Linked DNA regions of Callithrix jacchus. Each later gene encodes a partner of the first gene's protein in a complex. Links are inferred from orthologs where the notes say so. Each region holds a gene or a part of one and is shown on either strand. Other genes may lie near its edges.

What was found.
Region 2: the proteins of MLXIPL (region 1) and YWHAB are in contact, whole or in part, in a crystal structure (PDB 6YGJ), measured with the Homo sapiens proteins. The link is inferred for Callithrix jacchus from reciprocal best matches to the Homo sapiens genes MLXIPL and YWHAB. Residues at the interface, in NP_116569.1 of Homo sapiens: Asp118, Ile120, Arg121, Asn124, Ala125, Trp127, Arg128, Ala129, Trp130, Tyr131, Ile132, Tyr134; in NP_003395.1 of Homo sapiens: Gly55, Arg58, Ser59, Trp61, Arg62, Ser65, Ser66, Gln69, Lys70, Arg129, Val178, Tyr181, Glu182, Asn185, Leu218, Gln221, Leu222, Asp225, Asn226, Leu229, Trp230.

The regions. Positions count from the first base shown.
Region 1 is NC_133503.1:10,080,237-10,084,037, reverse strand, and holds part of MLXIPL (carbohydrate-responsive element-binding protein), read right to left. Parts: intron 3,783-3,801; coding exon 3,581-3,782; intron 3,441-3,580; coding exon 3,360-3,440; intron 1-3,359. UniProt on the Homo sapiens protein: Binds DNA as a heterodimer with MLX/TCFL4 and activates transcription. Binds to the canonical E box sequence 5'-CACGTG-3'. Plays a role in transcriptional activation of glycolytic target genes. Involved in glucose-responsive gene regulation.
Region 2 is NC_133506.1:40,243,501-40,248,009, reverse strand, and holds the start of YWHAB (14-3-3 protein beta/alpha), read right to left. Parts: upstream 2,810-4,509; 5' UTR 2,610-2,809; intron 840-2,609; 5' UTR 745-839; intron 1-744. UniProt on the Homo sapiens protein: Adapter protein implicated in the regulation of a large spectrum of both general and specialized signaling pathways. Binds to a large number of partners, usually by recognition of a phosphoserine or phosphothreonine motif.

The DNA.
Region 1 (3,801 bases):
GATTCTCCTGCCTCAGCCTCCCCACTAGCTGGGATTACAGGCGCATACCACCATACCTAGATAATTTTTTTGTATTTTTAGTAGGGATGGGGTTTCGTCATGTTGGCCAGGCTGGTCTCAAACTCCTGATCTCAAGTGATCCAGTGGCCTCGGCCTCCCAAAGTGCTGGGTTTATAGGCGTGAGCCACTGCGCCCAGCAGGAGGTCACTAGGACTAAGCCTTAATCCCAGGGACCCTCTTTCTGTCTCCGGGGGGCTTGGATGATACAGGCTGAGCCCAGATATCTACCTGGCCCGCACATGGCTCTGGGAGCCCCTAAATATGTGGCTATTGGGAATAGTCTGCAAGACCTATGGTGAAATGAAGGCCAGCTGGGAGATCCACTGTGAAAACAGAGGCATTTGTCCACATGTGCTTTTACCGACAGGAGCACCTCTGGCAGGACCATGAGGAGTCAGGAACTTGGTGGCTCTGGGGTCAGGAGAGGGAGGTAGGGACATTCACTACTTACAAAAAAAATGCTTTAGGCCAGGCGTGGTGGCTCATGCCCATAATCCCAGCATTTTGGGAGGCCCTGGTAGGTGAATCACTTGAGGTCAGGAGTTCGAGACCAGCCTGGCCAACATGGTAAGATCCCATCTCTACTAAAAATACAAAAATTAGCCGGGTGTGGTGGCACAGGCCTGTAATCCCAGCGACTCGGGAGGCTGAGGCAGGAGACTCGCTTGACCAAGAAGGCGGAGGCTGCAGTGAGCTAAGATCAAGCCACTGCACTCCAGCCTGGGCAACAGAGCGAGACTCTATCTCAAAAAGAAAAAATGCCTTACAAGATATAATGGCTGGAATTTTCTTTAAAATAATAGACTGGGCATGGTGGCACACACCCAGCACTTTGGAAGGTTGAGGTGGGAGGATCTCTTGAGACCAGGAGTTGTAGACCAGCCTGGGCAATATAGGGAGGCCCTGTCTCTTCAAAAAAAAAAAAAAAAAAAAAAAAAAATTAGCCGGGCATAGTGGTACGTGCCCGTGGTCCCAGCTACTTGGGAGGCTGAGGTGGGAGGATCACTTGAGCCTGAGAGGTTGAGGCTGCAGTGAGCTGTGACTGTGCCACTGTACTCCAGCCTGGGCAACATAGTCAGATCCTGTCTCAAAAAATAAAATAAAATATAAGAGAAGAGAAGGAATGTGGTCTAGATTAAGGAAGACTGGCCCAGAGTGGTAAGTCAACCAGTGACAGTGACTTGGGAGTTTGCTGAACTGTGCTTTCTCTACTAGTGTGTGCGAGCTTGAAATGTTCTCTAGTAAATAGTTTAATTTTTAATTTTTATTTTTTGAGACGGAGTCTTTCTCTGTCACCCAGGCTGGAATGCAGCGGCACAATCTCAGCTCACTGCAACCTCTGCCTCCTGGGTTCAAGTGATTCTCCCACCTCAGCCTCCCGAGTAGCTGTGTGCCACCACGCCTGGCTAATTTTTGTATTTTTAGTAGAGATGGGGCTTCCCCATGTTGGCCAGGCTGGTCTCGAACTCCTGACCTCAGGTGACCTGCCCAACTTGGCCCCACCAGAAGTACTGGGATTACAGGCATGAGCCACCCTGCCCAGCCTAGTAAATAGTTTTAAAATGCGTTGTGTGAATAATAAATAAACCTAAATAAATCAAAGTTCCTCTCTCCCCTGAGAGAGTCCCAGCATTCACTGCTTTCCTGGGAGCCCCTGGTTCCCTGTCCAGGTAATCTCTCTGCTCCTGCCTTCATTGGAGGCCACATCAACTAGACAAAAGGAGACCAGGAAGATCCCTCAGAAACCATCCAGACCTGCCAGGCACGGTGATTCACGCCTGTAATCCCAGCAGTTTGCGGGACCAAGGCGGGAGGATCGTTGGAGCTCAGGAGTTTGAGACTAGCCTGGGCAACATGGTGAAACCCCGTCTCTACCAAAAATACACACACAAAAAGCCGGGCATGGTGGCTCACGCCTGTAATCTCAGCACTTTGGGAGGCCTAGGTGGGCAGATCACCTGAGGTCAGGAGTTCAAGACCAGCCTGGCCAATATTGTGAAACCCTGTCTTAAAAAAAAAAAAAAAAATTAGCTGGGTGTGGTGGTGCCTGCCTGTATTCCCAGCTGCTTGGGAAGCTGAGGTGGGAGGACCACTTAAGCCTGGGGAAGCAGAGGTTGCTGTGAGCCAAGATGGCACCACTGCACTCCAAGCTGAGAGAGTAAGACCCTGTCTCAAAAAGAAGAAGAAGAAGAAGAAGGAGGAGGAGGAGGAGGAGGAGGAGGAGGAGGGAGGAGGGAGGAGGGAGGAGGGAGGAGGGAGGAGGGAGGAGGGAGGAGGGAGGAGGGAGGAGGGAGGAGGAGGAGGGAGGAGGGAGGAGGGAGGAGGGGGAAGAAGGAAGAAGAAGGAAGAAGGAAGAAGAAGGAAGAAGGAAGAAGAAAGAAGAAGAAGAAGAAGGAGGAGGAGGAGGAGGGAGGAGGGAGGAGGGGAGGGAGGAGGGAGGAGGGAGGAGGGAGGAGGGGGAAGAAGAAGGAAGAAGAAAGAAGAAGAAGAAGGAGGAGGAGGAGGAGGAGGGAGGAGGGAGGAGGGAGGAGGGAGGAGGGAGGAGGGAGGAGGGAGGAGGGAGGAGGGAGGAGGGAGGAGGGAGGAGGGAGGAGGGAGGAGGGGGAAGAAGGAAGAAGAAGGAAGAAGGAAGAAGAAGGAAGAAGGAAGAAGAAAGAAGAAGAAGAAGAAGGAGGAGGAGGAGGGAGGAGGGAGGAGGGAGGAGGGAGGAGGGGGAAGAAGAAGGAAGAAGAAAGAAGAAGAAGAAGGAGGAGGAGGAGGAGGAGGGAGGAGGGAGGAGGGAGGAGGAAGGAGGAGGAAGAAGAAGGAAGAAGAAAAGAAGAAGGAGGAGGAGGAGGAGGAGGGAGGAGGAGGAAGAAGAAGGAAGAAGAAAGAAGAAGAAGAAGGAGGAGGGAGGAGGGAGGAGGGAGGAGGGAGGAGGAGGAAGAAGAAGGAAGAAGAAAGAAGAAGAAGAAGAAGGAGGAGGAGGAGGAGGGAGGAGGGAGGAGGGAGGAGGGAGGGAGGAGGAGGAAGAGAAGGAAGAAGAAAGAAGAAGAAGAAGGAGGAGGAGGAGGAGGAAGGAGGGAGGAGGGAGGAGGAAGGAGGAAGAAGGAGAAAGAAGAAGGAAGAAGAAGGAAGAAGAAGAAAAAGAAAGAAAAAGTAAGAAAGAAAGAAAGAAAGAAAGAAAGAAAGAAAGAAAGAAAGAAAGAAAATAAACCACCCAGACCATCAGCTCCCCCAGAGGGGCCTTCGATGGGCTCATCGGCCTTCCTGACATGGACCCTGCCTGTTCACCCAAGGCCGGGAGGGGCTCACCCCACCTGAGACGTCCATGAAGTCATCCAGGCTTGGCTGCAGTGGCGTCAGGTCCGGCTGGATCATGTCAGCATTGCCGACGTAGGCTGCAGGCAGCAGTGACGACATCAGCAGCAGCAGGCAGAGGGGAACGGGGTCCCCGCCCCAACCCGCAGCCATTCCTCCCTTGGCCTCCTGGAATCTCACAGGCCTTCACCCCCTCCCCTGCCCCTTCCCAGATCCTCACCATCCTCAGGCGGCAGCTGCAGGGGTGAAGGGCCGGGCTGAGTCATGGTGAAGAGCGTGTCCGAGATGTCGGACAAAAAGCAGTCGAGGTCCAGGAGCTGCCGCCCACCCGGCTCCTGCTCGGGGTCCCCCAGCAGCACGGGGACCACACTGGAGAAGAGCTGTCTGCACCATTGCTCCGGTGGCGGCCACTCGCCTTCCGACTAGGGAGACAGAGCCGTC
Region 2 (4,509 bases), on another chromosome or scaffold:
ACATCTATTGAACCCCAACTGTATCCCAGATGCTTACTCTCATTATTGAGCTTGTCACAACATAAATATATCAAAGGCTGCATTACCATTTACGCTATACAGATGAGAAAATGATTCAGAAAGACTAGATTTTTCCTATGTGCAAAATAAAGTCCTATATTAATATATCAGTTTTTGAAAGCAACATGTGTACAAAGTAGGGTTTAGTCTCATCAGATGTTAACTGGAGAGAAAAAGCCATTAATACTGAACTCTGGGCCAGGCGCGATGGCTCACGCCTATAATTCCAGCACTTTGGGAGGCCAAGGCGGACGGATAACCTGAAGTCAGGAGTTTGAGACCAGCCTTGCCAATGTGATAAAACCTCGTCCCTACTAAAAATACAAAAATTAGCTGGGTGTGGTGGCATGTGCCCGTAATCCCAGGTACTCTCAGGAGGCTGAGACAGGAGAATCACTTGACCCCAGGAGACAGAGTTTGCAGTGAGCCAAGATCGCACCATTGCATTCCAGCCTGGGCAACAAGAGCAAAACTGTCTCAAAAAAAAAAAAAAAAAAAAAAAAGTGAACCCCGATTAAAAAAACAACAAAACCAAAAGCTTATATTTAACAATTTACAGTTTATAAAAAAAAGTCTTAGTGACAACCCTGGAGATAAGAAAACTACGAACCAGAGATTGATTAACATGCTGAAGATTTTCAGAAAGCTAGGAAATACTGCAGGCAAGATTTCAACCAAATTTACCTGACTCCAAGTCCAGTGCTCTTCCTGCTTCTCTATCCACGGCCAAATGGGCAAAATGCACTTTTTGTTGTGGCCCAAATCTTTGGAGACTCTGCCTAGAGAACCAACATCATGGGAATTTGCTCAGCCTGGTTTTATAGAGGCTGCCTCCCTGATCTATGGTGCTCCAATTCTAAAATGGCTTCAATATAACAAGCACTGTAAGATGGGAAATGTACAAAAGATTATAGGGTAGGATTCATATTCCAGAGGCTGGCAATCCATAAATATTTGCTACTGATGAATGAGGATATTCAATTTGAAAAAAACTAGGTGTATGGTCTAGGCCAAATCACCTCACTTCTCTAAAGACTTCATCTGCAAGATGGGTGAATGGTTTCTTACCTTATAGAAGGAAGACGCTAAGAAAATAATTCCACAGTTGCTACTGGATTATTAGCCTTCCATTTTGAGGGCCACACTTAAATTTCTAACTTAGGTCCAGTAAGATTGACAGGTTTTATACACTCACACACTATGCATCGCCAAGGAAGGCGATCCAAGAAATGAGGGCTCAAACAAATGAGATATCCCTAAGTAAGAAATAGGGTACACTGGAAGTCAAGAGTAATTCACTAAGAACCAATACTTACATTTCCAACACGAAAATGCAAAAGCTACAGTGTCCAGTTCTATAAACTGCATCTGTCTGGTTTCATACGAACTGACAGAGAAATGCAGACAATTTTCATATTCTTAAAGTGCTTCACCTTTCTGTTTTGGCTCCCGTGGCAAGCTGATATTATGTTCACAGCATCATCTTGCCAAATTCCATCTCCCACACAGGGCAAGTAAAATCAGAACCTGATGCTATCTAGCCTTACCAAAGGGAAATGCAGCGAAGACAGCGACAATAGATGTGCATTTCACAGAAAGGTTGGCAAACTAATTACCAAGGCTGCCACCTTTGAAAACCCCATTATATGGGGCTTCTCCATTTGCGGCAAAGATGCACTCATCTTCCCACCCCTTTTTTCCCCTCGCCCTTCACCCCCTTTCCCCCGACCAGGAAGCCACCAGGCATATTTCAGACCGAAAAACGTGCTAACACACAATATGGGGGAATTCTGGGTGAGGAAACAAAAGAATCTGGCGTTAAATGACGGTATATATCGTGGGAAAATACTCCGATTCTCATCCCCTGGTATTTTTTCCTCGGAATCCGGCCGGACTCAGTAACTGGCTCCAATAAATACATTTTCTTGAGTCAAACCCCAATTCCCTTCCTAGAGAATCTTGGGTCCTGCCAGGCTCCATAACCAGTGAAGGATGATGAAATGGTTTTACTCCAAAATGGGAGGGGGTTTTCCCCTTGCTGTTTCCCAAGGTTAAACCCCTTACTCATCCAGGAGGAGTCAAACAGGGGTACTGGGGCTAGAAAAAATTCACCCGCGTTTGATTAAATTTTAATTTCTGGAAACCGGAAAGCACAGAGCAGGGGTGACAGGGCTGAAGGGGACGGTTCTCGCCTACCAAGGTGCAGGGAGGGGTCGCGTGGGAACCGAAGCAGGTAGTGAGGGAGGATCCGGGATCCCCGGCTCCGCTGTCTCTTCCGGCGCAGTACGGAGCTGCACCCCACCCGGCCGGCAGGACCTCAGGCTGCGAGGGAGGCCCGAGCTCTCCAAGAGGTAAAGAGCCCGGCCCCGGAAGCAGGGAGGGGCCGCTGCGAGGCCTGGCCTCGCAGCCCTCGGCCGCGCCGAGCCGAAGAGACAGCGCGCCGCTACACCCCGGGGCCCACCCGCTGGGCCGCCGTCGTCGCAGCAGTCAGAGAGGGGCTTCGAGTTTGGGCCCCCGGGGGCCATGGGCGGGCCCCGCGCCGCACTCACCGTAGGAGGGCTGCAAGGGACAAAGACGCTTCCGAGCTAAGCTCCGAGCGAGGTGACCGCTTCCTTCCCAAGCCCACTGCTCAGGCGGTGGCGGTGGCGGTGGCGCTGCCTGCAGTGGCTGCAGCGGCGGCGGCAGCAGCTACCCAGGCTCGGGAATCCGCGGCGGCAGTGGCGGCAGCTCCACTTCCGCTCCGGCCACCACTTCCGCTCCGGCCCTGGCCGGGGCCCGCCCCGCGCCATCTTCTCATTGGGCAAGCGAGGCACGGGGTTGCCGCGGCCCCACGGGAGGGGCGCTGACGGAAGGGAGGAGGAAGAAACGCGGAGGGCAGGGATGCGGCGGCCTGGGCAGGGCCCATGGCCGGGGGAGGGACCCAGCAGAAGGTGGGCGGAGAAGAAGGAAATGGGGCGGGGGGAGCGGAAAGAGGAGGTGGGAGGAGAGAGGGCGGAGCTGGGTGTGGTCAAGATTAGGGCTGTGTGGGAACAAGGAGGACTAGGAGTGAGGTTTGGGTGGGGGTTGCCCTTTCTGCTCAGGCTGGGAACGCGCCAGGGACACGCCCGTAGACTCGAGGGTCATCGGTTCCCCCTCCACCCTGAAAGTAATCCTCACCGGATCGAAGGCCAGTGTCAGTCCTGTTGCTGTGTTCTTTGGAAATACTGGACCCAGGGAAGAACAGAAATTGCTCGTCCCTCAAGGATCACTTAATCCTCCTTTCTATTCTTCAGGGTGCTTTTTCCTACTTTGGTAGATTGAAGAGGCCACGTGAAGTGCCAGGCATCCGACGCACGAAGTTCTTTTTTAAAAACCTGTGTAGGGCCGAGCATGGTGGCTCTCACCTGTAATCTCAGCACTTTGGGAAGCTGAGGTGGTAGGATTGCTTGACGCCAGGAGTTGAAGCCTGCAGTGATCTATGGTCATGTCACTACATTCCAACCTGGGCAGCAGAGTGAGACCTGTCTCAGAAAATACACGAAAGTCTGTGTACATAATTTCTTCTTTAAAATGCCCCCTCCTTGAGGAAGTTCAAGGAAGGAAACAGGCCTCCATTGCTCCCCTCCCCTCCATGACTGCTTCCACAATTACTAATAGTCTATCATTATACTCCTCTCAAGGTAGTTTTTTTCTTTCTTCCTTTTTTTTTTTTGAAACGGAGACTGTCTGTCGCCCAGACTGGAGTACAATGTCACAATCTTGACTCACTGCAATCTCTGCCTCTCAGGTTCAAGCAATTCTCCTGCTTCAGCCTCCCGAGTAGCTGAGATTACAGGTGTATGCCACCACATCTGGCTAATTTTCGTATTTTTAGTAGAGACAGGGTTTCATCATGTTGGCCAGGCTGGTCTCAAACTCCTGACCTCAGGTGATCTACCCACCTCAGCCTCCCAAAGTGCCGGGATTACAGGCATGAGCCACCTCACCTGATTTTTAAACTCAGAACTTCAAAATGCCTCTCGCATTCTCCTGTTCATTTATTCTTTATTCTTTCAACAAATTCTTTATTCTTTCAACAAATGTCAAACGGGCTTTTGCTTAGTGCTGGAGACACAGCAATGAACAAGGCAGATGGGGCCCTGCTGTTTTGGAGTTTGCAGTCGGGTAGGAGGAAGAACTAAGTAAATAGGCCCTTGCTGTCTCGCCTTTACCCTTACTTAGCTAAATGACAGACTTCTGCTTCACCATTTTACTCTCAGCCTTGCCTGTCAACTGCCGAGTGATCCTTTAAAAATACCATTCTAATCGTGTCCTGCTCTAGCTAAAATTCTTTACTGTGCACTCAGATCTAGATGACAATGTATAAGTTACTTGAGTGTGACAATTAGGGTTCTCCAAAGCTGCCCTTATCCTTTAGCCATTACCTGCTATTTCTCCCCCATCGTAAATGCCCCAGTTCAATTGGATGAT